7 linked regions of the Mus musculus genome follow. The protein of the gene in region 7 interacts with the protein of the main gene of each other region in a biochemical or structural test. Links are inferred from orthologs where the notes say so. Each region holds a gene or a part of one and is shown on either strand. Other genes may lie near its edges. The genes, in order: Rps6ka1, Ctnnb1, Crhr1, Adrb2, Pten, Adrb1 and Magi3.

The links.
Region 1: the proteins of Magi3 (region 7) and Rps6ka1 interact in a test that uses a peptide from one of them, tested with the Homo sapiens proteins (2 studies listed by BioGRID and IntAct). The link is inferred for Mus musculus from reciprocal best matches to the Homo sapiens genes MAGI3 and RPS6KA1.
Region 2: the proteins of Magi3 (region 7) and Ctnnb1 form a complex in vitro, tested with the Homo sapiens proteins (2 studies listed by BioGRID and IntAct, with this or other methods). The link is inferred for Mus musculus from reciprocal best matches to the Homo sapiens genes MAGI3 and CTNNB1.
Region 3: the proteins of Magi3 (region 7) and Crhr1 form a complex in vitro, tested with the Homo sapiens proteins (2 studies listed by BioGRID and IntAct, with this or other methods). The link is inferred for Mus musculus from reciprocal best matches to the Homo sapiens genes MAGI3 and CRHR1.
Region 4: the proteins of Magi3 (region 7) and Adrb2 form a complex in vitro, tested with the Homo sapiens proteins (2 studies listed by IntAct, with this or other methods). The link is inferred for Mus musculus from reciprocal best matches to the Homo sapiens genes MAGI3 and ADRB2.
Region 5: the proteins of Magi3 (region 7) and Pten form a complex in vitro, tested with the Homo sapiens proteins (2 studies listed by BioGRID and IntAct, with this or other methods). The link is inferred for Mus musculus from reciprocal best matches to the Homo sapiens genes MAGI3 and PTEN.
Region 6: the proteins of Magi3 (region 7) and Adrb1 interact in a test that uses a peptide from one of them, tested with the Homo sapiens proteins (2 studies listed by IntAct, with this or other methods). The link is inferred for Mus musculus from reciprocal best matches to the Homo sapiens genes MAGI3 and ADRB1.

Annotation. Positions count from the first base shown.
Region 1 is NC_000070.6:133,863,798-133,867,297, reverse strand, and holds part of Rps6ka1 (ribosomal protein S6 kinase alpha-1), read left to right. Parts: intron 1-68; coding exon 69-175; intron 176-898; coding exon 899-936; intron 937-1,392; coding exon 1,393-1,535; intron 1,536-1,866; coding exon 1,867-1,937; intron 1,938-2,184; coding exon 2,185-2,273; intron 2,274-3,227; coding exon 3,228-3,292; intron 3,293-3,500. UniProt on the Homo sapiens protein: Serine/threonine-protein kinase that acts downstream of ERK (MAPK1/ERK2 and MAPK3/ERK1) signaling and mediates mitogenic and stress-induced activation of the transcription factors CREB1, ETV1/ER81 and NR4A1/NUR77, regulates translation through RPS6 and EIF4B phosphorylation, and mediates cellular proliferation, survival, and differentiation by modulating mTOR signaling and repressing pro-apoptotic function of BAD and DAPK1.
Region 2 is NC_000075.6:120,950,400-120,953,899, reverse strand, and holds part of Ctnnb1 (catenin beta-1), read right to left. Parts: intron 3,379-3,500; coding exon 3,151-3,378; intron 3,007-3,150; coding exon 2,753-3,006; intron 2,634-2,752; coding exon 2,395-2,633; intron 2,315-2,394; coding exon 2,113-2,314; intron 1,042-2,112; coding exon 897-1,041; intron 1-896. UniProt on the Homo sapiens protein: Key downstream component of the canonical Wnt signaling pathway.
Region 3 is NC_000077.6:104,131,281-104,135,580, reverse strand, and holds the start of Crhr1 (corticotropin-releasing factor receptor 1 isoform 1 precursor), read right to left. Parts: upstream 2,801-4,300; 5' UTR 2,510-2,800; coding exon 2,477-2,509; intron 1-2,476.
Region 4 is NC_000084.6:62,177,213-62,181,479, reverse strand, and holds Adrb2 (beta-2 adrenergic receptor), read left to right. Parts: upstream 1-1,498; 5' UTR 1,499-1,727; coding exon 1,728-2,984; 3' UTR 2,985-3,767; downstream 3,768-4,267. Other genes in the region: Gm9949 (uncharacterized protein LOC225609), read right to left, coding at 877-1,435. UniProt on the Homo sapiens protein: Beta-adrenergic receptors mediate the catecholamine-induced activation of adenylate cyclase through the action of G proteins. The beta-2-adrenergic receptor binds epinephrine with an approximately 30-fold greater affinity than it does norepinephrine.
Region 5 is NC_000085.6:32,813,077-32,816,576, forward strand, and holds part of Pten (phosphatidylinositol 3,4,5-trisphosphate 3-phosphatase and dual-specificity protein phosphatase PTEN), read left to right. Parts: intron 1-2,340; coding exon 2,341-2,507; intron 2,508-3,500. UniProt on the Homo sapiens protein: Dual-specificity protein phosphatase, dephosphorylating tyrosine-, serine- and threonine-phosphorylated proteins.
Region 6 is NC_000085.6:56,720,624-56,724,916, reverse strand, and holds the start of Adrb1 (beta-1 adrenergic receptor), read right to left. Parts: upstream 2,801-4,293; 5' UTR 2,546-2,800; coding exon 1,145-2,545; 3' UTR 1-1,144. UniProt on the Homo sapiens protein: Beta-adrenergic receptors mediate the catecholamine-induced activation of adenylate cyclase through the action of G proteins. This receptor binds epinephrine and norepinephrine with approximately equal affinity.
Region 7 is NC_000069.6:104,087,907-104,091,406, forward strand, and holds part of Magi3 (membrane-associated guanylate kinase, WW and PDZ domain-containing protein 3), read right to left. Parts: intron 1,763-3,500; coding exon 1,553-1,762; intron 1-1,552.

The sequences.
Region 1 (3,500 bases), on a different chromosome or scaffold from region 7:
CTGCTCAGTAGGCCAGCTCCTGGGGAACGGGGTAAGCCAGCTGACGGGTGTGTCTTTCCCTGTTGCAGGTCATGTTTACAGAGGAGGATGTGAAGTTTTACCTGGCTGAGCTGGCACTGGGCCTGGACCACCTGCACAGCTTGGGCATTATTTACAGAGACCTCAAGCCTGAGAAGTGAGCAAAGCCCCTGCCATACTGCTGATCTCTCCTGGGCACAGGGACTGCTCTTGGGCCCTTTTAGAACAGGGCCATTTGGGAGATGCTGTGGCGCTCCCAGGAATTTATCTCTCTTTGGGGCTGTCAAGAGGGATGGGTGGTTGTCGCAGGTTGTGGCCAACAGCAGGTTCACTTTAGGTAATTAGGAATTGCCTGGTCGGTACTGCTATTACTAAAGGCTGCAGCCCAGCTGTGGCCCTACTCCATTCCCCTTCCTTTTGGTTTTTCGAGACAAGTGCTTTAATCCCAAGTGCTGGGAATAAAGGCCTGCGTTACTATCACCCAGCTCTAAAGATCATCTCTCCATCCGCTTATCCTGGGGGTTTCGCATGCACTGCCTTCCGGTGCTGTGTTGAGAGCTGGGATAGATTCTGGTGGTAGAGTTAGACACACCCCAAGTCAGGCATTGCGGTACTCAACTGTAGTACCAGCTGCTAAAGAGGCCGAGTCCAGGAGTTCGAAGCCAGCCTGTACAATGTAGTAGAATTGAAAGAAAGACAAGTTCCCTAGCCATTCTAAAGGAGTTACTTTCCCGAGCTTCCATCCTTCCACTTTTCCTTGAGTAGAGTTGGACCAAACCCTTCTTCTGGTCAGGCCCAAGTCTCTCCACCCCAAGGTTACTGCTAGAACCTGCACAGTGCCTGCAGCTAAGGATTCCTGACTCCTGTCTCTCTGTTACAGTATCCTTTTGGATGAGGAGGGCCACATCAAACTCACTGGTGAGTGAAGGGCACCTGCTCCTTTGGGCTCTGGGGAGGATAACCAGGCTCTGTCTGATAGGTCTCAGCTGATGGCTGTGTTTCCTGGGAGACGATGCCAGTTACATACATGCCAAAAACCTAGGCCTTGTTACTTAGTTATTTTTTGTGTGTGTATGGGAGTTTTGCCTATATTTGTATCTGTACCTCATGCATGTGTTGCCCAAAGAGGCTAGAGTTGCCTGCACCTGGTTGTTAACCATCGTGTGGGAGCTGGGAATGGAACCTGGGTTGTCTGGAAGAACAGCCAATATTCTTAACTGCTGAGCCATCTCTCGAGGCTCCCTAGGTCTCAGAGCAGACTGAGCTCTCACTGACAACCTTGGTGATACCTGGCTCCGGTCAGAGGAGCTAAGTGTGGTAGCCGTGGGCGTGGCAGGGATCCTAGAAGTGACTTCTCTGCCCTCCATGCTGCAGACTTTGGCCTGAGCAAGGAGGCCATAGACCATGAGAAGAAGGCTTACTCCTTCTGCGGGACAGTGGAGTACATGGCGCCCGAGGTTGTCAACCGCCAGGGTCACACCCACAGTGCAGACTGGTGGTCCTATGGGGTGCTGATGGTGAGTGTCCGGGCTCTGCTGCACACTGTTGTACTTTGTTTCCCTCGAAGAGCCGCGGGCTTTAGTCCACCTGCCTGAAGTACCACCCCTCACCTAACTTGGGAACTCTCCTCTGCTTCCTTCCTCTGGCTTTAGTGCTGCTCCTGGGTTCTAGGTTGGGAGGGGGGCAGAGGCAGGCACAGGCCTTGCTGCAGCTAGACTTAGACTGTAAAGTCTTAACAGGCCAGCAAGAATCCCCGGACTGCAGCAGGGTAGCCCGGGAAGGAGGGGGAGGGATGTGTGGGAGACAGAGAACAAGGCCACACCTATATGTTTCCTTTTCCCCCCGAAGTTTGAGATGCTGACGGGCTCCCTGCCCTTCCAGGGGAAGGACCGGAAGGAGACCATGACCTTGATTTTGAAGTAAGCACCAACACTGCCTGGCCCTCCAAGTTCTCCCTAATCCCACCCCAGTTGCAGGGCCAGTGAATTGCTTTTTCCCTGTCTGCAGACCCTTGCTGTCTGCCAGGGCCAGTGGGAAGTGTTCTTAATGTCTCTGGGAGGTGAGTTAGTGGCTGGCTTCTCTGGACTGAGCTGGAAAAGAGAAAGGGAAGGGGCTCTGGGACTCCTGGGTGGGGCTCAGCCCTGATGAGACCTGTGGCTGTTCCAGGGCGAAGCTAGGCATGCCCCAGTTTCTGAGCACGGAAGCCCAGAGCCTCCTGCGGGCCCTGTTCAAGAGGAATCCTGCCAATCGGCTTGGTAAGCAACCCCAGCTCAGAGGAGGGGACATGGCGGTGAGGATCAGGGTACAGCTGCAGCCTAGGCCACGGGGCCACATCTAGGACTGAAAGGAGCTGTTGTCCTTTGTGTGAGCAGACAATGCTGCTGGCCACCCTATTTTCTGGTTCCATGTATGGTGCTGGGAGGGTGACCTGTGTGGGGGGAAGGCAGGAACTGAGTCATTCATACCCCCTCAGGGACAAGGACACAGGCCCCCACACAGCTTCTCTGCCAAGGTTGCTGGCTCAAGGGAAGGCGCAGGAGCTTAGGAGCGAGAAAGGTCTCAGGCCTAGCTGTGTCTGTCCCCGCTGCCCGGCACCCAGCAGTACTGTAAACATTTGCTGAGGGATTGAATACGGTTTATGAGCCTGCGCTATGGCAGGGGACCCCACCTTTCCGAGCCCCAGGTTCCTGTGTCAGTGGAGACACTGATTCTGCCCTGGCTCCCGGGGATCTTTGATGAGAGAAGGACATTCCTGTTGTTCAGTGAAGTATACAGTATTTGCCGAGGTTTTTGGATGCTGGCTTTATCTGGATCACAACCAGCTAAGGTCCAGTCCAGGTCCCTGGGTTGAATCGAATGAGCGTTTGTCTCAGGGATAAAGACGAGAGGCAGTAGGAAAAGAAGGGCAGAGAGGAGGGGGGCCTGTGGCGGGAGTGGATGAAGGCCCTTGTTAGATCTCAAAAGAAGTCAGTCCAGCTTCTGTCAGGATTAATGCTTGGACAGGCTTCCCGTCCTGCCTGGCCCCTCCTTCCTCAGTACACCAGCAGAAGCTCCGTAACATAGGAAATACTGAGCGGGCTCCAGGCTTCAGGGTAGTGGGTACTGACGCAGGACATGGTGAACCCCTGCTGCCCTCCACGGTAGCAGCTGGTCCAGAGCCTGGAAGACAGAATGGGTGTCTGAGGTTGGCTTCATTTGGCTTCTTTCAGGCTCGGGCCCTGATGGGGCAGAGGAAATTAAGAGACATATCTTCTACTCCACCATTGACTGGAATGTGAGTGCCCGTGCCTGTGCCCTGTGATGGACGCAGGAAGGGTGGGGGAGGGGCCCCTGCCAACCGTGGCCTCAGCTGTGGGAGGTAGAAGGTGAGCAGCCCTTAACATGCCCTTGGAGGGGTGACTTCACGCCCTTGAAGGCTGCTCTCCCTTGCTGTTATCCACTGAGCAGCATAGCTTCTACTCTTCCTGTCGGGGCTGCTAGCA
Region 2 (3,500 bases), on a different chromosome or scaffold from region 7:
CCCCGAAGTGCTATGCAGCACTCCTTTTCTGGGACGGCCTCCTCAGTAGCTGTCATTGTTTTGTGCTGTCCACTCCTGTCGTAACATTCCTCTGTTCTATTCTGAGACAAGGCCTTGCTAATACCCAGGAAGTCCCAGACCTCGACTCTGCCCCTGCTTAAGGCTGGGGCTCCAGGCCTATGCACTGAGCTCAGCACCTGCCTTTGTGTGTTGTGCTCATCTTCACAAGACACAGTAGGAACCAGTTCCCCACTGCTCTACAGACGGATGCATGGTAATGGTATCAATTACACTGCTTCAAGTATATATATTCAAGATAAACACATCCATATCAGAATGACCTCGGGCATCCACACACATCCATTTCCAACTATCCCGGCTACCTATGGACTTTATCAATCTATAAACTTTACATTTAAACAAGCCACCATGTGTCTCTCTCAGGCCCATGGTTTCTGTTAGCAACTACCTCAGTAACCTGAAGTGTTCCCAACGGCCCAAAGATGGTTGGTTGCTACAACCCTGTGTCTCACCCTCAGCACCGTCCTCTACATGATGCCTTCATCATTTTCCGCTTCTACTTGGTTCTGAAGCCTAGGCAGATATTAGTTGCTTACTGAAAGGAAGCCTGGACATAAACCATGTATTTTCTCTTCTATCACTGGGGAGAACACCTTAACAACAAACCTCAAACCAAACGAAACCACTTCTCTGGTACTAAGCTGTTGTCTAGATTCACAGGGCTGCTAGTGAGGCCCAGCCTCACCTTTACCAGAATCAAAGTCAGAAACAAGCTTTATGGAGCAGGGTGTTTTTGTTGTCTCTGACAAAAAAATTTAAGTAACATGGGGCAAGCAAACAAGTACTGTGAGTGATCTCAGAATGTGTGTACTCACCAGCTTCTACAATGGCCGGCTTGTTGCTAGAGCAGACAGACAGCACCTTCAGCACTCTGCTTGTGGTCCACAGAAGCTTCTCATAAGTGTAGGTCCTCATTATGTTTACTAAGGCTTGGGGTCCACCACTGGCCAGAATGATGAGCTAGAGAGAGATGGAACTGTAAGTCATGAGGCTAGAGAACAGTGCCATTCATCACTGAGTTACCGGACATGTAAGAACTTTAGCCAGCTTGCAATTAAATGTATCTCTCTGGACCCTTCTGATCCACAGTCTCCAAGTGGGGTCCCAGGTATGTGACTCCTGTGCTACAATTCTGCTCAAATCCAGGCACACCACCTTTCTCAAGAATACACCACCTCGAGCTAGAGCGATGGCTCAGCTGTTAAAGAGTGCTGGCTACTCTTCCAGCAGACCCAGGTTCAAGTCTCAGCAGCAGCTCATAACTGTCTGCAAATCCAGTCCCAGTGGAACTAACACCCTCAGACATACAGACATACATGCAGGCGAAACAACAATGTATGAAAAAAAATCACTAAAAAATAAAACAAAACTCTGGCTACCTCTCCACAATAAACACAGAGGAAAACACCATGAAAAGCAAGCAGGGTTGCTTGTAGAAGTGATCAAAGTTCTGTCGAAACAGCCAGTTGAAAATGGGCACTAAGAGCCCCTAGCTTCTGACTCTGAGCTTCTATGTTACTTGCCTTAGGAGACACTGCAGAATATCCACTCCCTCACCCTTAAGGTCCTTGAACATTTCCATAGGCAGGTCTCACCCCATGCCTGTGTTTAAGATCTTATCTCCTGGACTTTGGTATGGCCAACAAAGAAAGCCTCACAGGATCCACCCGGCCCAGCCTTAGCCCAACTCTAACACTGTGTCTCCAGCACACCATCCCTCTTCCTCCTCGGGACTGTGGACGGCATCCTCTCACTGCCTCCTCCTAGGTAACACCTCACTTCTTCTCAAAGATTGCCACAAGACCTCAAAACACCATGTCCTCTGTCTATCCAGCCCCTCCTCTCTGCCCAAGTGTAAACTTATGAGGCCTGCTCCCCATCCCTTCAATGCTTAGCACCGTACTGTACACACAGATTCAATGTCTAAAGACACAAATCTTTGAGCCTGTGTGTGTGTGCGCGCGCGCGCGCACATGCATACTAAGAACTTAGTAACTCCACACTCTGTACAAACAACTTTCATCACTCTACCTTGCTCTCTTGATTGCCATAAGCTAAGATCTGAAGGCAGTCTGTTGTAATAGCCAAGAATTTCACGTTTGTTTTGTTGAGCAAAGCAACCATTTTCTGCAGTCCACCAGCTAGGCGCACTGCCATTTTAGCTCCTTCCTGATGGAGCAGGAGATTATGCAGTGTCGTGATGGCGTAGAACAGTACAGAATCCACTGGTGACCTGGGAAGAGGAGAGCCTTTGTTAGCCATGCCAGCACCCTTCTACTTCCTACCCTTCAAGTTCCCTGGCCATTCTCTTACCCAAGCATTTTCACCAGCGCTGGGATGCCACCAGACTTAAAGATGGCCAGCAAGCCCTCGCGGTGGTGAGAAAGGTTGTGCAGAGTCCCAGCAGTACAACGAGCTGTCTCTACATCATTTGTATTCTGCATGGTGCGTACAATGGCAGACACCATCTGAGGGGAGCGCATGATGGCATGTCTGGAAGCTTCCTTTTTGGAAAGCTGATGGACCATAACAGCAGCTTTATTAACTACCACCTAGAATAAAGGATGAAGAGGCACCATTAGTTTCCAAAACTTAGTGTGAGGCAGCCATTGGCATCCCCTTGAGAACTTCCCTCAAAGTAAACTGAAAAGCAAGTTACATCACTGCTTACCTGGTCCTCATCGTTTAGCAGTTTTGTCAGCTCAGGAATTGCACGTGTGGCAAGTTCCGCGTCATCCTGATAGTTAATCAAATTGACAACTGCATGTTTCAACATCTGTGATGGTTCAGCCAAGCGCTGGACATTAGTGGGATGAGCAGCGTCAAACTGCGTGGATGGGATCTGCATGCCCTCATCTAGCGTCTCAGGGAACATGGCAGCTCGGACCCTCTGAGCCCTAGTCATTGCATACTGCCCGTCAATATCTGAAAAAGGTAAATCCAACACTCACTAGGCATGTGGGACTCCGCTACCCTCCGCCCTTCCTTCAACCCACTTGTGCTGTGGCTGAGCTGTCACACAGCCCTGTCAAGAAACTTAATGCTAGCTTCCAAACACAAATGCTTTACCAGCTACTTGCTCTTGCGTGAAGGACTGGGAAAAGCCTTGCTCCCATTCATAAAGGACTTGGGAGGTGTCAACATCTTCTTCCTCAGGGTTGCCCTTGCCACTCAGGGAAGGAGCTGTGGTGGTGGCACCAGAATGGATTCCAGAATCCAAGTAAGACTGCTGCTGCCAGTGGCTGACAGCAGCTTTTCTGTCCGGCTCCATGGCCATGTCCAACTCCATCAGGTCAGCTGTAAAAACAGAGTATGTTAGTGAACTGAAAATGCTACCTGAAGAAGCCATCTACGACAATGACCCATTGAAATACTGTTAGAAAGGCAGCCAAGGAGAGCAGGTGAGGGTCAGTATGAGC
Region 3 (4,300 bases), on a different chromosome or scaffold from region 7:
TGGCATGGGACAAGACTGGGGCTCTGACACAGCAAGGGAGAGAGCTGTCTGATGGTCACAGCAATGCCCAGACCTGTTCTTAAACATGGGACCTGCAGGGATCGTTATTCAACTTGTCACAGCACCGTGTAAAGAGGGAAGTCACAGCCATTTTCTCCTCTGCTTTAGACTTTGCCTAATGCTTCTAAATTGCTATAAACAATAACAGCAGCAATAAAACTGGCCTCCCTGGAAGTCACTGGACACTCATTGTCCTTTAAGAAGACACAGGGGCCTAGTTCACTCCACACAGTCACTATCCAGAATTACCTATCACCAGAGCATTAGATATGTCCCTAGGAAGAGCAGTTAGTGGATGGGTCATAAGAAGAGGGACTAACTCTCCTCTCTATACTTATCCATAAACACCACACACACACACACACACACACACACACACACACACACACACACTCCACACCCATGCACACACACTCCTCATCTTTCTTGCACTCTCCCACAATGTTCTATAACAAGTTCAATGAGAAATGCACACTATAGCCCCCGAGTGACCCTTTTCCAAGCATAGCTTGCCTGCCAATCATCAGTGAAAGAGCTGGTTTTTGCACGATCTCCAAGTTCCCTAGATTCATATGTTCAAACTGATGAAACGCTCAGATTCTCAGCTGGTAGGCACTAAGCATGAGATTTAAGTTTGAATTTAACAAAACAGAGTCTTAGGCTTGGAGTACTGGGTTTGAAATCTGTGTGCAGGCGCTAAGGGCACGGTCAGGCTTGCTGACTGACAAGCTCATGGTGCCGCTTTCTGAACAAGTAGGCTCAATCCTCTATGCCTAGGATATAATTCTTACTTCTTGGACTATTATGACGACTACATGACTTAATATTTATAAAGCAACGAGACTAACACTGGGAAATGTGTACAGACCACACAAATATCACAGTCACCGACTCTCACTCCCCATTTCCTGGGCACACGCTGAATGTATCATGTAAGACAAGTCCCCCAACTCCCACTAGCCAGTAGGAACAAGAGGAAAAAAAAGTACCTTTTATCTTAAGAAACTGTGAACATGCCAAACAGGTCATTTCACACGGTTCTAAGAATGGCCTCAGAAAGAACCTTCATTGATTTCCATGTAAACTTGAAAAAAAAAATATCCACAGCCCAAATTTTTGAATTTGCTTAAGAGGCTTCATTTTTAACCCCTGTGAATTTAGATCAAGGCTCAGTACACAGGAATCCTTGGGAAAAGACCTCCATTGCTGCTTATCTATACAACCTCCAAGAGTCTCCCTAACTTCTTTGTAGAAGACTTTGGTCACCCCAAAAATAATCTCTGGCTCCAGCCCTTAGGTTCACTGAGACTCCCTTAGATTTGAAGACAACCTTTGAGTATGTGGAGAGGGGGGACATTTTAAACGCGTGGTGGTTTAACTCAAATGCTTTTCGAACAAGTAAAAGCAGTCGGCTTAATAACTGACGGAAAAATCAAAGCCAGTCAATTCGCACTGCTCCTCCCAACCACTTAGATCTTTTGAACGCAATCGCCTTTCCTGGCCACAGTTAACCCGGTGCTTCGGCTTGTGGTTCAGGAGGTCCATGTCAGCCCTGAGCGGTCCGGAGACCCAGGCATGGCAATTGGGGCTGCCGGGCGGCAGCGCCAGGCCCACTCACCTTCTCCAGCACCAGGGCTGAGGTGCTGGTACCCAGTGAGCGCGCGCGCTCCGGGACGCGCCGGCGAAGTGGCGCCTGTCCTTAGGCTGCGGGCCTGGCTGCGAAGCACCTAGCTCTTCCCGGGCTCTGTCCACCCCCGCGCAGCCCCAGATCGCCCCCAACTTTAGCCAGTAGGCACTGTAAACGCCTTCTGAAGACTTTCTGAAACTCCGCTTCTCCAGCCCGGTGGCAGGAGCGAGCCCAGTGAGAGAATGCGTTGCGCTCCGGGGGGCTGTGGCACCCCGGAGGATCGGCCGGACACTGGGGTGCGCGCACCATCGCCTCTCAGAGATGCTAAGTCGATGAAGGGCCGCGACTCGCGGGCCGCATCTATCTCCGGAATCTGAAGCTTTCTACGGAGGAAAACCGGCAGGAAAGAGCGCCTGAGACCGGGACAGGGCCGGCTCGGAGGGTGTCCAGCAGGGACAGGATCCCATCCAGAGCCTTAAGGGGGATGGCGCTTCGGCCCCAAAGATTGCAGCGATTCTTCGCGCAAAGCCGGTTCTTCGAGTGGGCGGACCCCCTCCTCCTCTGGCGCCGCAGCGGTTTCACCATCACCCATTCTTTTTCCACCAGAGTTGTCCCTCTGTCTCCGAAGCCCGGCTTTAGAGGTCCAGGTAGAGGACGTCAGGTTGAACCCCAACCTCCCGGGTGGCGCCGGGTTCCCCGATCCTCTCCTCCGGCACCCCTGCCCACGCCTGTCCCGCGCTCGTTCGGCCCGGAGCGCCTCTGATTACCCGGAGGTCGGTCCTCTCTTACCTTCACGAGCCGGAGCTGCGGGCGCTGTCCCATCCTCGGGCTCGCTCTGTCAGCGTCCTGGATGCCAGGATCGCTCCGACATCCCAGAGCGAAGAGCGGGCGGCTGCGGTCTCCGTTGGGCGGCCAGTCTCCCGGGTCGCTGAGCTGCTCCCAGGCGCCCGGCTTCGCACCCTCCCGCCCCGCCCCACCGGCAGGCTCTGGCTCGCCCTGCGCGAGCAAGTCTGGTCGCCTTCTCCCCACTCAGCTGGGCCCACAGCTACCTCTCTCCTGCCTGGATCCCGCCTAGCCCGGTCGCCTCCCCCACGGTCCGCCTGCCTCTCGCCTCTGCTCCCCGCCCCCTCGCCTCGTGTCCCCTCCTCTTTCTCCCTCCGCTCCCCTCCTGTCCCTCCTCCGCTCCTCGCCCCTCCGCTGGCTGCAGGCTCCGGTCTCCTCGGTCCACTGCCCAACCCCGGCCCGGATCCCCGCACCCTGGCCGTGCTGAACCCCCTCTCCCCGCACCCCGGCTTGCGGCAGTGCGCGGGGCGCACAGGCGGCGGCGGCTGCCACCGCAGCTAGGGAAAAACCGGGGATCCGGGAGGCGGCTGCTGGAGAGCAGGCAGCCTTTCTTCTCTAGCCTCCTGTGAGGCTGGATGTCCGGACCAAAAGAGTCCGGGGGATCCCGGGGTACTTGTGGGGCTCGGGGGGCGGGATTTAGAAGGCTAGTAGGCGCTGGGGAATAGGGCGATTTCCACAAAACTCAGCCTGCGTGGAAAAAGAAGCTGAGAACTACATTTGGGTGGTTCCCGCCCTGCAGCCATCCAGGAGGTTCACCTCCGCCCCCAATTTAGTGGGGAGGGGAGGCCGGGCCCGAATCCCCCTCCCGATCCGCGCGCCTTTGGCCTAAACACACCTAGGATGTGCTGGGACACTGATGCTCTGCGGCGGGAACCCTTCCTTTTTGAATCCTTCGTTCGTTCGTTCACTCATTCATTCATTCGTTTTTGGAACTGAACGTCTGTCTTTTTGGTCCAGGCCCCAAGATAAGTGGTGACAGCGGACTGGGCACCTAGTCTGTAAGGAGGGGAAAGCAGGGCGCGCATTGCGCCGCAACGCTGTGGACGCAGCTGGGAATCCAGCCCGAAGGGCGTGGAGGGGGCCACAGCGCCCCCTCTTGGCCAAGCTCTCGGGGCTGGAGCGGGCTGTCCCGCCAGACCTCCGGGTCTTCGTCTAGGTTGGCTTTCTAATTCCACTTCCAGCCTTAAAACCAGCTCTCGCCACCTTCAGGCCAGTTAGGTGGATTGTTCTTTTGATTTCCTTCCCCCATCCCCCTTTCCTTCCCCAGCGAGAGATAGAGAAGGAGAAAAGGAGTGTCGGGGTAGAAACATCTTCACCTCTCAGGTCCGGGTCTCCATCTTGAGTACACAGAAGCACAAAGAGAGAGGCAAGGTCCTAGTGGGGGAACCAGCTTATTTTAAAATGTAGCGGAGCTTGGCGACTCTGGACACTACTTTGTGCAACTCCCCTTCCTTACATTGTGTTCTCAGCACACTGGACAAGATCCACAGCTTAGAGGCCCAGGCAATAGTCATTTTGGAGCTGGAGTTGCTGTAGGTCATGTGACAGTTTACTAGTGAGGAAACTGAGGCACAGGGGAGCGTGGATTGTCCAAATCCCCACAGTTGGCACCCTCCTTCCTAATTCCCAACTCAGTGTCCCTGGCGGTCTTGGCTCGGATGGGGTAGGGGTGCAGAGTCGGGCGGATCATTGATTAAACCCACTGGTCACATTGGCTTAGCCATTGTGCATGCACAGTTCAGTGAAGCAAAGTCCTGAAGTCTTCAGTTC
Region 4 (4,267 bases), on a different chromosome or scaffold from region 7:
TTAGTCTTGTTCTGAATTTTTTTAATGGGAAGGAACAACTATCCTCAACTATCCTTTTTTTTCTGTAGTTTTAAAATGAACTCCACAAAACATGTTTTTAATATAGGGAATTATATGAAATTGTGGGGTGGGCAGCGAGGTTAAAGGCAGAAATAGCCCAATGGTGGCACATTCACTGACACAGCCTAAAAGATTAGCAAATTACCCAGCCAACACATACAATTAATACAATTAATATTTTTATAGTTAAAACAGAGTTACTAAAGAAATTGTTTGAAAAGAAAATTATGAAGACTGGAAAGACGGCTCAGTGCTTAAGAGCTTTGGCTAGTCTTCCAGAGAACCAGGGTTCAATTCCCAGCACTCACAAAGGCAGCTTGTGAGCTGATACTATCTGTATATTCAGTCCTAGGGAATCTGATGCTTTGTCCTGACCTCCAAAACAGGCACAAATGTGGTGCACAGACAAATGTAGAGATAAGACTCCCATGCACAGAACATAAATAATGTAGTTTAATTTTTTAAATTGTAAAACTGAAAATGGTTGCACTTGCATTTTTATTTTCAGCACATCCCCAGATATCCGCCATATAACAAGAAAATGATGCCACACTCCCAAGAATTAAGAATTACACCTTCCCAACCCTACCCAAATGTGTATACTTCTAGGTCTAAAGAAATGCGAAGGATGAAGTTACTGCCTTGGTGCGGTTCTCAAGGAGGGAGGATGCCAAAAAAATATTTTTTCACAAAGTGTGCTGAGAAACTCTGTAGCTGTTGGAGTCATCTCCTGTGCTCTTGCCAAATAACTGAAAGGGGATACACTGGATGTCTGTGAATGGGGTGTCACTTATGAGTGCTAGAAGCGGGTGGTACCTGGATGTGGACACCGGTGTCTGAGTGGTCCGCACTCCATGTCTCCACAGGAGCGCTTATGTGTGTTTCTTTCCTCCTGCTTCTGGGTGTTCCTGGGTTTGTTTACAGCCACCTCTCTGTTGGACCAGGAGACAGCTGTCATCTCCAGAATGAGCGGGCGCGGGTGTGTCTCCGTGGCTGTGGCTGTGGTTCGGCATAAGTCTGAGCATGTCCTGGTCGTCAGGGTGCGTTTGTGCCTGTGTGTGCGTGTCCGGGTGAGCTTGCTCTTTCTGTTCCTAAAAGAAAACGCACCCTGCGCTACTGGCGTCCAGAGACCTCTCAGCCCGCACAGGTGACCTGAACGGACAGGTAGCACCTCCAGACAGCGCCTGGTTGGCGGGTTGCACAGCAGCCCTAGATTTCTCTCTCTGGTGCCCCAGCTAGGGTAGCTGGAAGGGAGCGGTGGCCTGGCCTCCGGGGAGCCGCTGGGCCCCGCCCGGGCTAACCCCAGGAGGAGGCGGGCTAGGCTGGGAGGGTTGGCCCTTGGTGCCTCGCCCCTCCGGGCATCCGGCCGTGCCATTGGCCCAAAGTTGTTGCACGTCACTGGGCAATTCCCCTAAAGTCTGGTGCACATAACGGGCAGGGCGCACTGCAAGGCTGCTTCTCAGGCATTCAGGCTGCGGCTGCAGGCACCGCGAGCCCGGAGCACCCACGAGCTGAGTGTGCAGGACGCACCCCAGCACAGCCACCTACGGCCGCTGAATGAAGCTTCCAGGAGTCCGCCCCCGGCCGGCTGCGCCCCGTCGGAGGTGCACCCGCTGAGAGCGCCTGGGCACCGAAAGCCGGTGCGCTCACCTGCTAACCTGCCAGCCATGGGGCCACACGGGAACGACAGCGACTTCTTGCTGGCACCCAACGGAAGCCGAGCGCCAGACCACGACGTCACTCAGGAACGGGACGAAGCGTGGGTTGTGGGCATGGCCATCCTCATGTCGGTTATCGTCCTGGCCATCGTGTTTGGCAACGTGCTGGTCATCACAGCCATTGCCAAGTTCGAGCGACTACAAACCGTCACCAACTACTTCATAATCTCCTTGGCGTGTGCTGATCTAGTCATGGGCCTAGCGGTGGTGCCGTTTGGGGCCAGTCACATCCTTATGAAAATGTGGAATTTTGGCAACTTCTGGTGCGAGTTCTGGACTTCCATTGATGTGTTGTGCGTCACAGCCAGCATCGAGACCCTGTGCGTGATTGCAGTGGATCGCTATGTTGCTATCACATCGCCCTTCAAGTACCAGAGCCTGCTGACCAAGAATAAGGCCCGAGTGGTCATCCTGATGGTATGGATTGTATCTGGCCTTACCTCCTTTTTGCCTATCCAGATGCACTGGTACCGTGCCACCCACAAGAAAGCTATCGATTGTTACACCGAGGAGACTTGCTGTGACTTCTTCACGAACCAGGCCTACGCCATCGCGTCCTCGATTGTGTCTTTCTACGTGCCCCTGGTGGTGATGGTCTTTGTCTATTCCCGGGTCTTCCAGGTGGCCAAAAGGCAGCTGCAGAAGATAGACAAATCTGAAGGAAGATTCCACGCCCAAAACCTCAGCCAGGTGGAGCAGGATGGGCGGAGCGGCCACGGACTCCGAAGGTCCTCCAAGTTCTGCTTGAAAGAGCACAAAGCCCTCAAGACTTTAGGCATCATCATGGGCACATTCACCCTCTGCTGGCTGCCCTTCTTCATTGTCAATATCGTGCACGTTATCAGGGACAACCTCATCCCTAAGGAAGTTTACATCCTCCTTAACTGGTTGGGCTACGTCAACTCTGCCTTCAATCCTCTTATCTACTGTCGGAGTCCAGATTTCAGGATTGCCTTTCAAGAGCTTCTGTGCCTTCGCAGGTCTTCTTCGAAAACCTATGGGAACGGCTACTCTAGCAATAGCAACGGCAGAACGGACTACACAGGGGAGCCAAACACTTGTCAGCTGGGGCAGGAGAGAGAACAGGAACTGCTGTGTGAGGATCCCCCAGGCATGGAAGGCTTTGTGAACTGTCAAGGTACTGTGCCTAGCCTTAGCGTTGACTCCCAAGGAAGGAACTGTAGTACAAATGACTCGCCACTGTAATACAGGCTTTCTACTCTCTAAGACCCCTCCTTGACAGGACACTAACCAGACTATTTAACTTGAGTGTAATAACTTTAGAATAAAATTGTATAGAGATTTGCAGAAGGGGAGGCACATCCTTCTGCCTTTTTTTAAATTTTATTTTATTTTTTAAGCTGCAAACAAGAGAGAGAAACTGTATTTGAGTGCTTATTGTTTTCTTGTATAGTTCAGTTCCTCTTTGTATGGAACTTAAAGGTTTCTGTCTGAAGAGTGTTGGTTCTGGAGGACTGAGTCTGTCTGTCTGTCTGTCTGGATGATGTTTTCATGTATCTACCTCACTGGTCAAGTATTAAGAATGATATATATTGCTGCTGGAAATCCATATCTAAAGGAGAGAGTTTTCTTCCTGTACCCTTGGACTTGAAATATCCTGTGTCTTGGACCTTTCTGCTGTGACAATGGGCCCTTTCTCTCTCACTCCACTTATTTACTCAAATGGAGTGTTGCAGGCAGGGATTTGAGGGACAACATCAGTTGTTTTGTTTTTGTTTTTGTTTTTGTTTTTTTGTTTGTTTGGTTCGTTTTTGGTTTGTTGTTGTTTTTTGGGGTTTTGTTTTTGTTTTTGTTTTTTTGGGTTTTTTTTTTTTTTTTGCTGAGAAAAGTCTAAAGTTTACAGTAAATAAATTGTTTAACCATGACTTCATTGCACCCGTTTCTTCAAAACCTCTTGACTCTGGAGTGTCCTTGTCTCTCCCACTGGAAACCACAGGTAAACTATGTGTCGTGACCGATGAGTGGCTTAATGTGTAAGAGTACCAGAATGGCATGCACCGTGCCTAGCCCTTCCGTGTGTGTCTTCGGAGCTCCAGATGCAAACCTGTGCCTTCCCTAACTTCACTCGTGTCCCAAAGCAGTCCTGCCTGTTCACAGCATAACCCAGTATGTCCTACAGTTGCTCTTCTGTGCTGTCACTCCAGAAACCCTGACTCACGGAAACAGAGTTATGGGCATATGTTTTTGTCCCCATATGCTCCTGACACCCACCTTCCAGCCTTACTTGCTTAATAACTGTGTATATTTACATCACTGCCGTCTCTTACAGTAGTGCCCTTTGTACTGCATCAGGGCTTGGTGTGTTCAGGATGAGGAAGATGTTCTGTGTAATAGCTGTTCAAGCATCTAGAAATTCTGAGGGAAATCAAAGGCCTCGGTCAGAGAGAGAGAGAGAGCAAAGCTTTAAAAAACATAGCTGGTGAATGCTTCACGCCCTTCAGCCTCTCCTCGCTCCCGTCTGCTGTCCC
Region 5 (3,500 bases), on a different chromosome or scaffold from region 7:
ATATAGAGCTGTAAAGGCGGTATGGAGGCAATACGGAAAAGCTCTGCTCAGGAATCTCACTAGGTACTGACTTTTTGTCAGCTCTACTTTGCTTATTGATTAAACTGCTGTTGGGCTTTTAGTCGGACAACATTATGTTTGCATCTCTACGCTTAAAAAATATTGACTACTAAATTCTTTTTAATCTTTAAAAATTTCTAGTTACTTATTTATGTGCTGGGATTTAACACTATATGTTGAAGTTATATTAAAATAAAGCTCATGAGATTCATATGTATAAATTATAACTGCCATGTTCACAAAAGGTTTTGGAAACAATTTCATGAAGAAAGTCGGTCACTGGAGAACACATGCAGTTTGGATTGGCATTGAGTGTGAAGGAAATATTACAGGCAGTAGAAATAAGGTGACCGAAACACAGCAGAAGAACTGGACGAGAAATAGAAGATGTGATTGGCTGTCACAGGATCTTGAATGGGATGTAATAGACTTGGACTATTGGTGTCACGATAATTCTAGGAACTTCAGCTGTGTTTTAAGGACAGGCCCATGTTGTATAGACAGTTGTGATGTAGGAGGGGTAGTACAGCCAGCTCTGTGACTTGGCAGATGTTGCTAGAGCGATGGAATGTACTTTGTTTGGATTTTCTTTAGTTGTTCATACCCAGAGTGCATTTGAGATTTGGAGATATAAATATTATCACTTTGCTTTTAAGTTATTTTAAATCTGATGAGATCAAGGTACTTGTGAGGATCTGCAGTGGGGCTGCAGCTCTGTCTTGGTGGTGTAGTGTTTTTCTCAAGCTAGAGTGCAGGATTGCCTTCAGTCTCCAGCCCGAGGAGGAGGAGGCATGAGTGAAACAGACAGAACTAGTGATAAAAGGTTTAGTGTCTTCTGCAGAGGGACCAGGAAGTGTTTGCCAAGCGTTTGTCTTATTACCTTACTTTTTCTACGTGAAGAGAAGTTGCTGTATAATAAAAATGATCAGTTTGCTTTTGTGTCAGGATGCACTCTCATCCTTGTTTTTGTCAAGTCCAGATCCTGTCATTTCTTCAGAACATAGTTAATTAACATAGCATATATTTCAGATGTGCATCTCAGAAGTCAAGAGGACTGTACTAATATTAGAATATTGATGTTAGAACTTCCATCCCTCCTGCTGGGCGTGGTGGCACACACCTTTAATCCCAGCACTTGGGAGACAGAGGCAGGCGGATTTCTGAGTTCGAGGCCAGTCTGGTCTACAAAGTGAGTTCCAGGACAGCCAGAGCTATACAGAGAAATCCTGTCTCGAAAGACCACCAAAAACAAAAACAAAAAAGAAACAAACACACAAACAAAAAAAACAATTTCCAACTCAATGGGAAACTCATGGTCTATAGGAGGTCGTTTTGTCTCAGTGGTCTTAGAAAAAGCTGCTGTTTTTTCATTACTGTACACTACAGCTGGGGACATTGTCAAGGAAAGATGCCATGACAAGGCAATTCTTATAAAAGAGTTAATTGGGACTTGCTTACACTTTCAGAGGATTTGTCCATTATCAACCTATCAGGAAGCATGGTGGCACACAGGCAGATACGCTGAGAGTTCTACATCCAGAGGCTGGCAGCCTCTACCTCCTGAGTGCCAGCACTTTTAAAAGCACGGGCTACCATCACCCAGCTATACATGTTTTTTATTTTTTTAAACATATTATTTTTATTAATTCCTTGAGAATTTCAGATAAGCATTCAGTGTATCTTGATGTAACTCATTTCCTACTTCTCCCAACAGCCTTGTCTAGTTCCAGGACAGCCAGGGCTAACTAAACAAAGAAACTCTGTCTTAAAATGCCAAAACCAACAAACAAAAACTTGTGAACTGGAGGTCAAAAGAAAGATGATCAGTATTGTATATTTCTATATTATAAAGGCTTAGGTTTACATCGTTTATTAAAATATTCTTGTAAAGTTGCCTCTATGCAGTTCACAAAAGTCCCAGGAAATTGTTAAAGTTATTTTATGCTTAAAGTAGTTTGTGATGTGTCTTTTGCATGTTAATGTAAAGCTTTAATTGTTAATATGCTGCTAGAGTCTAGTCTTAGAACTTACTGTTTGTGAAGTAGCAATTGATTATCATATCTGTAATAGAACTTTACTTAAGGATTCAGATTGAAGAAGTCCTTACATGGGTTGGTTATGTTTTTACATATTTTATTTCTACTGATTTGTTTTAGATAAGCAGTCAATATGAAGAGTTATCATTTTGTGTATATTTCTGTTTATTTTATCATTAAAGTAGTTTTTGATAAGTTGAAGACATTTCTTGTGAAATGATCCTATATGTATTTAACCACACAGATCCTCAGTTTGTGGTCTGCCAGCTAAAGGTGAAGATATATTCCTCCAATTCAGGACCCACGCGGCGGGAGGACAAGTTCATGTACTTTGAGTTCCCTCAGCCATTGCCTGTGTGTGGTGATATCAAAGTAGAGTTCTTCCACAAACAGAACAAGATGCTCAAAAAGGTTTGCAATTCAGTTCTATTGTGTAGAAATAGCCATTCCTCAATGAGTAACCACAGACCTTTTGCTTAAAGCCTTTGGTTAGGAAATTATTCTGTAAGGAGAGACTATTTCTCTGCCATCTACCAAACTGATTACTCTTTTGTTAGATTGGCAGACTCTTCATTTCTGTGGCATTGATGAGACATGTAAGCAGACTCACCTGCCCCGACCCTTAGTTTGTTGGCTTTTTTGGTTTGTTCTATGTTCTTATGTTGCACAAGCCATGTTTTACCCATTTGGGTTTATGTTTCTTGAGAGTAGACTATTTTATATTTTGTTTCCCCAGGTTACTGAGTATTTAGTCAGTACTGAGTATTTAGTCAGTACTGAGTATTTAGTCAGTATTACTTAGTTGAAAGAAGTGGTTGTGAAGAAGTAATAGTAATTAAAAAAAAAAAAAAAAACATACCAAAAAACAAAAGGGTGGAAACAGCTAAGCATATCCTCTGTCCAGGGTTGCTGGGGCTTGAGATACACTTGGGAGGAGGAGAGAGCTCAGGTGCAGTGTCCTTGGTGTGAACATTTATCCTTGGTGGCTTTAGTACCCTTAGTTGAATGTGAACATTAAAATGAGTCTTAAGGTGTAGAAGTTTTAGCTGGATCAGAAGAAGATACCAGTTTTGTGCAGAATCAATTCCCGTGAAGCACATAGAGCAGTACATAGTCCGGAAGGGGGTTTTATAAAAAGCAGTAAAAGGAGAGCTTACTTACTATAAAACCTTGCAATGTCAGATCAATTTATCAGGAGAGATAATTTCTTTTTTCTAGGATCTACATAGCTAAAGAAGAAAAAAAATCACAAAGTTAACCAAATTAATGTTTTTATCATGGACCTCTCATGAAACAAAAAAGCTAAATATAAATATCTTTGAGTTACTGGTTTTTTTGTTTATTTTCTGAGACCACAATAAATGTGAGCAAACATTTCAAAAATTAGGTATTTGGAAGGCTTTA
Region 6 (4,293 bases), on a different chromosome or scaffold from region 7:
AAAAGTAACTTCCCAATAAACCATCAACTCAATAACATAATAGACAAGAGAAACTGAGTTTGAATTTTATTTTAGCTTTTTAAAGATCTGCCCACCTCCCCATCCCAGTAAAAATATTTAATTTTTTTTGTGCAAGTTAACAACTTCTATGAATTTTACAATGCCTAACACTGTGCAAAATGGCCTTCCAACCACTGCCTTTTTTTTTTTTTTTTGCCGTCTTTGTTTTTAGCCACATGTGCAATAATCTCAACTGTTTCCTTTTTGTTCTGTCCTATCTTTAGTTGACAGAGTCACATGTCACAGAGAGAGACTCAGCGCCTGGTCCTTCCAACTAGTATTGATACATAAATAAGCTGTTTAATATAAACAAGTCTTTCTATCTTGCTGTGCAATATGCACAGAGTGAGGTAGAGGACCCACAGCAGGACCACCGAGGCGCGCAGGGCACAAGGTTTGCCCTCTAGGAGAAAGCAAGGTGAACCGTGCTCCACACATAGTTTCTCGAAACCAGATTTGTCTGTTTCGCATCCTTCTTTTCCCTTTGCTTTAAGAACAGGAGACACCAGTACTCCGGAATTAGTATGCAATTTCTTTAGAAAGCAAAGGGAAACACTTCCTGGCTAATTATCACCGGCCCCGCCCCCACACCAAACCTGAGCTGAATACTTAGGTTCCTAGGTGTGGAACCGGAAAGCCAGGTGATAGACTCCATCCTGCCCCCTCCCCTCCCCGCCTAGTTTCCACTCGGGTCCTTGCAGAAAGTGTCAAAACCCACCTAGGGGCGGGGGGGGGGGGGAATGCCTGAAGGTGCATTAAACACACGAAAGGCCGAACCTCAGAGAGAAAGGAACTCAAGACAAGCCAGTAAGCCATACTAAGCCACACTCTCCCAACTCCTCCTAAACTTTCCTTTTTGCGCAAACGCTCGGTCCGGGGCTTTTCTGTACGTCTCGGATGATTCGATAGATCTGTGGGCTTTGCATTCACCTGCTTTCGGTCTTGAGTAAACAGAGATCTCCTCTCTCCCCTGGGGAGCGGCTCAGGGGCGCCCAGGCGGGCTCTCTTCCTCTAGGGATGCAGAGCCCGTGTCCAGCCCGGGACTATGGGGAGCGGCGTCCGTGCGCCCAGAGAGCCTGGCTCTCTACACCTTGGACTCCGAGGAGAAGCCCTGGCGCCCCGGCTCGTCCAGGCTCGAATCGCTGTCCACAGTGGTTGTCCCGCCGTTGCAGCCGGTCCAGGGCTCCAGCAGGCGCGCCGGTGGGGTGGTCCCGGCGTCGTCGTCGTCGTCGTCCGAGGGAGCTCCGGGGGACGGCGGCGGCCCAGCTCTCGCCAGGCAGCCGGAGGCGCGCGGCCGGTCCCCGTGGGCTGCGCGGCGTCTGCAGGCGGCCCGGCGCGCGCAGCAGAGCAGGCGCTGGAAAGCCTTGCGGAAGTCGGGGCTGCGGCAGTAGATGATGGGGTTGAAGGCCGAGTTGGCGTAGCCCAGCCAGTTGAAGAAGACGAAGAGGCGATCCGGCACCAGGTCGCGGTGGAAAGCCTTCACCACGTTGGCCAGGAAGAAGGGCAGCCAGCAGAGCGTGAACACACCCATGATGATGCCCAGTGTCTTGAGCGCCTTCTGCTCGCGCAGAGCCACGAGGCGCGACGGCCGCCGCTTGCTGGAGCGCCCGTTGGCCAGCGAGTCTGCGGGGCGCGGTGGCCCAGGTGACGGCGAGGGCTCAGGCGAGGGCGGCCGGGCTGGGCCGCCGAGGAAGCGGCGCTCGCAGCTGTCGATCTTCTTTACCTGTTTTTGGGCCTCGCGGAACACCCGCAGGTACACGAAGGCCATGATGCACAGGGGCACGTAGAAGGAGACGACGGACGAGGCGATGGCGTAGGCCCTGTTGGTGACGAAATCGCAGCACTTGGGGTCGTTGTAGCAGCGGCGCGCTTCGTCGCTCTCGGCCCGCCACCAGTGCATGAGGATGGGCAGGAAGGACACCAACGCCGAGATGGCCCACACTGTGCACACGAGGGCCCGCGCTCGCGCGCGCGTCAGCAAACTCTGGTAGCGAAAGGGCGACGTGATGGCGAGGTAGCGGTCCAGGGCGATGACACACAGGGTCTCAATGCTGGCCGTCACACACAGCACATCTACCGAAGTCCAGAGCTCGCAGAAGAAGGAGCCGTACTCCCAGCGGCCCCACACCACGATGGTGGCCCCGAAAGGCACCACCAGCAATCCCATGACCAGATCAGCGCTGGCCAGGGACATGATGAAGAGGTTGGTGAGCGTCTGCAGCCGCGGGGTCTTGGCGATGGCCACGATCACCAGCACGTTACCCACCACGATGAGCAGAACGATGAGCGCCAGCAGTAGGCCCATACCCGCGGTCCACTGCTGCGACAGCGGCGCTGAGCCCTCGCTGGCTGGAGGCAGCAGCGAGGCGGGAGGCGACGCGAGCACCAGCAGCCGCGCCGCGGTGGCCGCACCGTCGGGCAGCGGCGCGGCGGACGACAGGTTGCAGGGTTCGGAGGCGCCCAGGGCGAGCGCCCCCGCGCCCATGCCGAGCTGCGGAGGCCGGGGGCGGGGGGTGTGGCGGGGCTGGGCCGCGCCTGGGGAGCACCCCAGGAGCCGGGGCTGCGGGGCCCGCGCGGGGAGGTCGCGGCCAGGTCAGGGCAGCCGCGGCTCGGGGCCGGAGGCATGGACGCCGGGCGCCTTCTCCTCCGTAGCCGAGCGCTGTCTCCGCCGCCGCCGCCGCCGCTGCTGCTGGAGCCGCTGTCGCTGCTGGAAGAGCCGCCGGGACCTCAGCATGTTTCTGAGCGCGCGGGGCCGGCGGCTCCAACACCCAGCACCTCCCCCCCCCCCTTCGCTGCCACCCCCCCAGCCAGCCCCCGGGGCCGCGCGTCAGGCTCCCGCAGCCAATCGCCGCCAAGGCACGCCCCCGACAATGGTGCCCCCACCCCCAACACCCAGCACCCCCTCCTACCCGCGATTGAAAGGCTCCAAAGATTGCGGGCGGACTACGCAGCCAGCACCCACGGGCTGCAGCGAGCGCGCCCTTTCCTGCTCAGGCTTCTTCCAGAGTCTAGTCTGCGGCGCCCCCTGCGGCGCCCCGCCGCCTCCTGTGCCCCCCGCCAACCAGTAGTCTCCGTTAACCTTAGCACCCAGCTCTCCTTTTGCCGCTCCCGCAAGAGCGCCCTTATTTCCCTTCGGCACCCCGTAGTTCCCTCGCCTCTAGTGCCCGGTTCCTGGTAGCTATAAGAGAACCTTACAGGCGTCTCGGAGACGCAGGAGTGCCTTGGACAGCCTATCTGCTGGGATTGGAGGAATTTAGCTGTGAGACTGGGGTTCTGCCATCAGGCAGCCTGGCTCTTCCCTGATCGCGAGGGGACCTGGCCAGCATGACAGCTTGGGGGAATAGGAAGTGGGTGTTAGTGATTAGAGGAAACTTTGCAGCCAGGCGGGTTGCTGGAGCAGGGTACGCATCTGTCAGAAAGGCTCTCTGGGCGCTGTTCTCGCGCGGAGCTGTGCTCTCTCCTTCAAGTGCAGTAGATGGGGAAAGGAAGGGAAGGTTTGTGGATGTAACTGCCAACACCGAGGACCAGTCGGATACACACACAGGCCCCAGTCCCAGCTAAAGAAAAGGATGAAAGAGTTCTGAATATAAAGGAGAAGTTTAGGGCAACATTCAGTCCAGGGTAAATGACGTCGCCCCACCCCCACGCCCCTCGTGGAAAGAACACGGAGAATGACGCTTCAGACTTTTTGACTCCAGTACCAACACCTTAACATCCGCATCTGTGCTCCGTTACCCATGGGATTTTGCAATCTGAGCTGAGCCAACACAAGGTGCTATCCCTTTTGGGTTGACGTCATGAACTGGGATTTCAGATTTCTTGGGAGGGTGGCTAGATTCTCAAAACTGTGGGATTAGCTTTGGGAAGATGAGGGAAGAAAATATATACATACTCAAGGCGATTAAATCTGAAAGCATTTAAAGTCATACCACATTTCCTCGCTTCACATTGTCGAGAGAATCCGAAACTAGAGTCTTTGGCTTCATTCCTGATGCGAACAGAGGATGGGACCTCGGGCTGAGGTCCTCTGATCTACCCCTGGGAATGCCTCTACCTCAGGCCGTAAAAAGGAAATCTGTAATTAAGTTCTTGAGAAGCGAACAGTTCCCAATTGTCTCAGAAGGGAAGGGTGCACGGTAGTGTTATATAATGTTATGTAATGCTCCCGAGTCCTTCTTGCATTGGAATAAAAAGATTAGCATCTGGGAGGAACATCAACATGTGGCCAAGCTG
Region 7 (3,500 bases):
CCAGACGTTCAATAACTATTTGTTAAATGAACAAATGAATAAAATTCCTAGTTTATTTTCCTTGCAGAATATGTAATAAAGATGTAAAGGTATCCAATGTAGACGTCAATCTGGAAGTGAGTTACATCTGGGGAAAATAAAAAAGTAGCCCAGACAAAAGCCATACCAACTGTACCGGCTGGTTTTGTGTCAACTGGACACAGCTGGAGTTATCACAGAGAAAGGAGCTTCAGTTGGGGAAATGCCTCCATGAGATACAGCTGTAAGGCATTTGCTCCATTAGTCCCACCCCTTGTGGGTGGGACCATTTCTGGGCTGGTAGTCTTGATTCTATAAGAAAGCAAGCCAGTAAAGAACATCCCTCCATGGCCTCTGCATCAGCTCCTGCTTTCTGACCTGCTCGAGTTCCAGTCCTGACTTCCTTTGGTGATGAACAGCAATGTGGAGGTGTAAGCTGAATAAACCTTTTCCTCCCCAACTTGCTTTTTGGTCATGATGTTTGTGCAGGAATAGAAACCCTAAGACACCAACTAAATGATCTATATATACTATTTTCTTGATGTAATTCCAAATGACTAAACCTTTTAAAAAACAATTTTTGTCTTGACACCTAAATACACTGGCTAACTCATTTAACACTAAACATAAGTACTGAGAAGTTAAAACAATAGCCGGATCTCGCTATCTGTAGGGGGAAATAAACAATGATCATATAAGGCAATAGGTATATACAAGGGAAATTTTAATAAGTGATGAGGGAAATTGAAAATGTTTTGGGATCATATAGAGATAGGCTGCAAATCCAAAGACAGGATAAACATTTACTTCCTTCTATATGCCAGGTACTGTTCTTGGTGTAGTAGATACAGTGATGAAAACTTAACCTCCCCAAAATTCCAGTATTCAGAGAATTCACATACTAGTATTCCAAAGAAAATGGCTACAAAAATAACACTAATGTCCATCTTTTTAAGGTCTGGCTTCCCAGTCCTCTCTCAATTAAATGTAAGGACCTCCTGGACATTACAAATTTATTCAGGGACACTCAGAGTAGATTCTTCACCCTCACATTTTTATTTTAATTCAGTGAGAAATATGAAAGTTAAGCAAAAGATACAAAAAATATCAATTTTATTTGCAAATTATCTTTGAGTAGATCCAGAATTTAAATTAAAAATATTGCTAATGAACTTTTCAGATAATTTCTTCTGACATACCTCCAAAGTCTATGTGCTTTGGGTTGAAGGCTGTATTAAAAAACCAATTTTGTTTTAATCCTGGGAAGTAGAACTATGCCAGAAAGATTCCCGTATCCCAGCATTACAAGTATTTCAGATAAGGTGATGCCACATCATTAATGACAGCTTACTATTGCTAACTTATATTAGTTTACAAGATGACCCACAGAAATATACATTGTTCCACACAGCTTTCATAGAGAATTAGAATCCTAGCACCTGCTCTGCATATAGTTCAAGAAAATCTTTAGGATTTCAATTCAAGATTAAAGCCAATCTAAGACCAATCAGAAGTTGTTAATATGTTTACAAACCCATGCTTCCGCTGCCATTAACAGCTTCTTTGTCCTCATCTTCTTCTTCTTCAGGGAGAGAGCTGTCCATCCTTTCCATCTTGCTGACAGATGTGGTTCTTTTTCTTTGGGATTCTGTGTCAAACTCATTGTCAAAGAGGACCTGATCAACTGGATCGGGCTGGAAAGGACTAGGCTCTGCTGGAGGCTTGGGTGTGCCATAGAAATTTCCTGTGGTGTACAAAATGATGGCAGCTGAAAGTACGAATGCTGACCAAGCTTAAAGAATGCCTCTGTCACTGACTAAAAGGCCAAACAAAGCATTCTGTATGACTAATTTCTCATATCTTGTCATACGTTAGCTATCATACTAAAACTGCTCATATTTTAATTTTGTTTTATAAAGTTTCTGAATTAGGGCTGAATTTGGAAATATAAAAGCATTGATTCTCTTATGAAATAATGAAAGACACAAAAGGTATATAAAATGAAATAATTTTATTCTAATGTATAAAATGAATTATTTTACTAAAATGAGGATATATACAAAGGCTAAGAACTATTTCATATAGGAATATAAGCTGTTGTGTAATTTTAAAAAGCTTTCTGCACACTTGAATTATATTACCTGACAATTTATTGAAGAGCCATTATATATCAAGTTCTATACTAGTATACACTCAGAAAAGCAAGCGATAGTTTAATGTGTTTTTCTGAGGATCTTTGATTTTTCCAGTACCAGTACTTGGTCAAGGTAAGAATAAAAACAAATGAAATAACCTTCAGTTTGTTATGCAGCTTGTACTGAGCAGGCAGGCACCATGGGAAAGTGTTCAGGAGTCTAGCTGTCTCAACAATCACTGTTCCCACTCCTTTCGACTTTATATCAATTATTATGTTACTGTTATAAAAAGCTAAATCTAATTTAAGAATAAAACATTTTCACCTTTTATTATTGTGCTTATAAAATATCACACTTTTAATCAAACTGTTCAGTTCTAAAAGAGATAATTAAGATACAGATTGACATAATGGAAATTTTTAAAAAATTGGTCATTTTTCCCTAGATAGAAAAAAATCATGTTAGGCTACATAACACTAAGACAAATCTAGAAATAAATAGTATACTCTAAATCCACATGTTAGAAGGAGAAAACATTACAGTGAAATCTGTGTATGTTTGACTATAAGTACAATTATCAATATTCAAAAAGTCAAACTCAATTATTTCTTGGTTTTCAAACACATATTTGAAGGGGGTTGCCATATAGATGGGTACAGAGATTTGAATGAAAACAAAGTAGACTTTCTGTCAATTCTCTGACCTGCATATGAAGATGCAAGGGAAAAGCTAATTCATTATCTTCCGAGCAAAACACTTAATACTGTAAGCAGAGTTTGGCTGGGGGAAAAGATGTACCATAATCTCAATTTTTCCCCATTTTATCATATTGTATAGACAGAAACTCACTGTGTAGCCTTGGCTGTGTTGGAACTCACTTGTATACCCAGGCTATTCTCAAACCACAGAGATTTATCTGCCAGTGCCTCTTCTGGAATTAAAGACAGACAGTACCATACCCAGCTATTTTCCCGTTTTAAAGCTCAGTAGTCACACTATCAAGGATTTGGATCACCCAAAATAGAAACAAGTACATGTGTTTTAGGGAATGATAGTATCAACAGAACTACATTTTACTGTAAATTCTCAGTTAACTAAATGTAGAAAAATTAACATATACTTAAGGAAAAGTTAAGGGAAAATGCAGAGTACAAATTGCTATCTAGTCACAGATAGGTTTGGGGGTTTCCTAATAATTTTTTAAATAGTGCCCTTCTTTTAAAAAGGCCTTCCCAGGGCTGGGGAGATGGCTCAGCAGTTAAAAGCAATTGCTTCTCTTGCTCAAGACCCAGGTTCAATTCCTAGCACCCACATGGTAGCTTACTACCATTCATAAAATGTCTACAA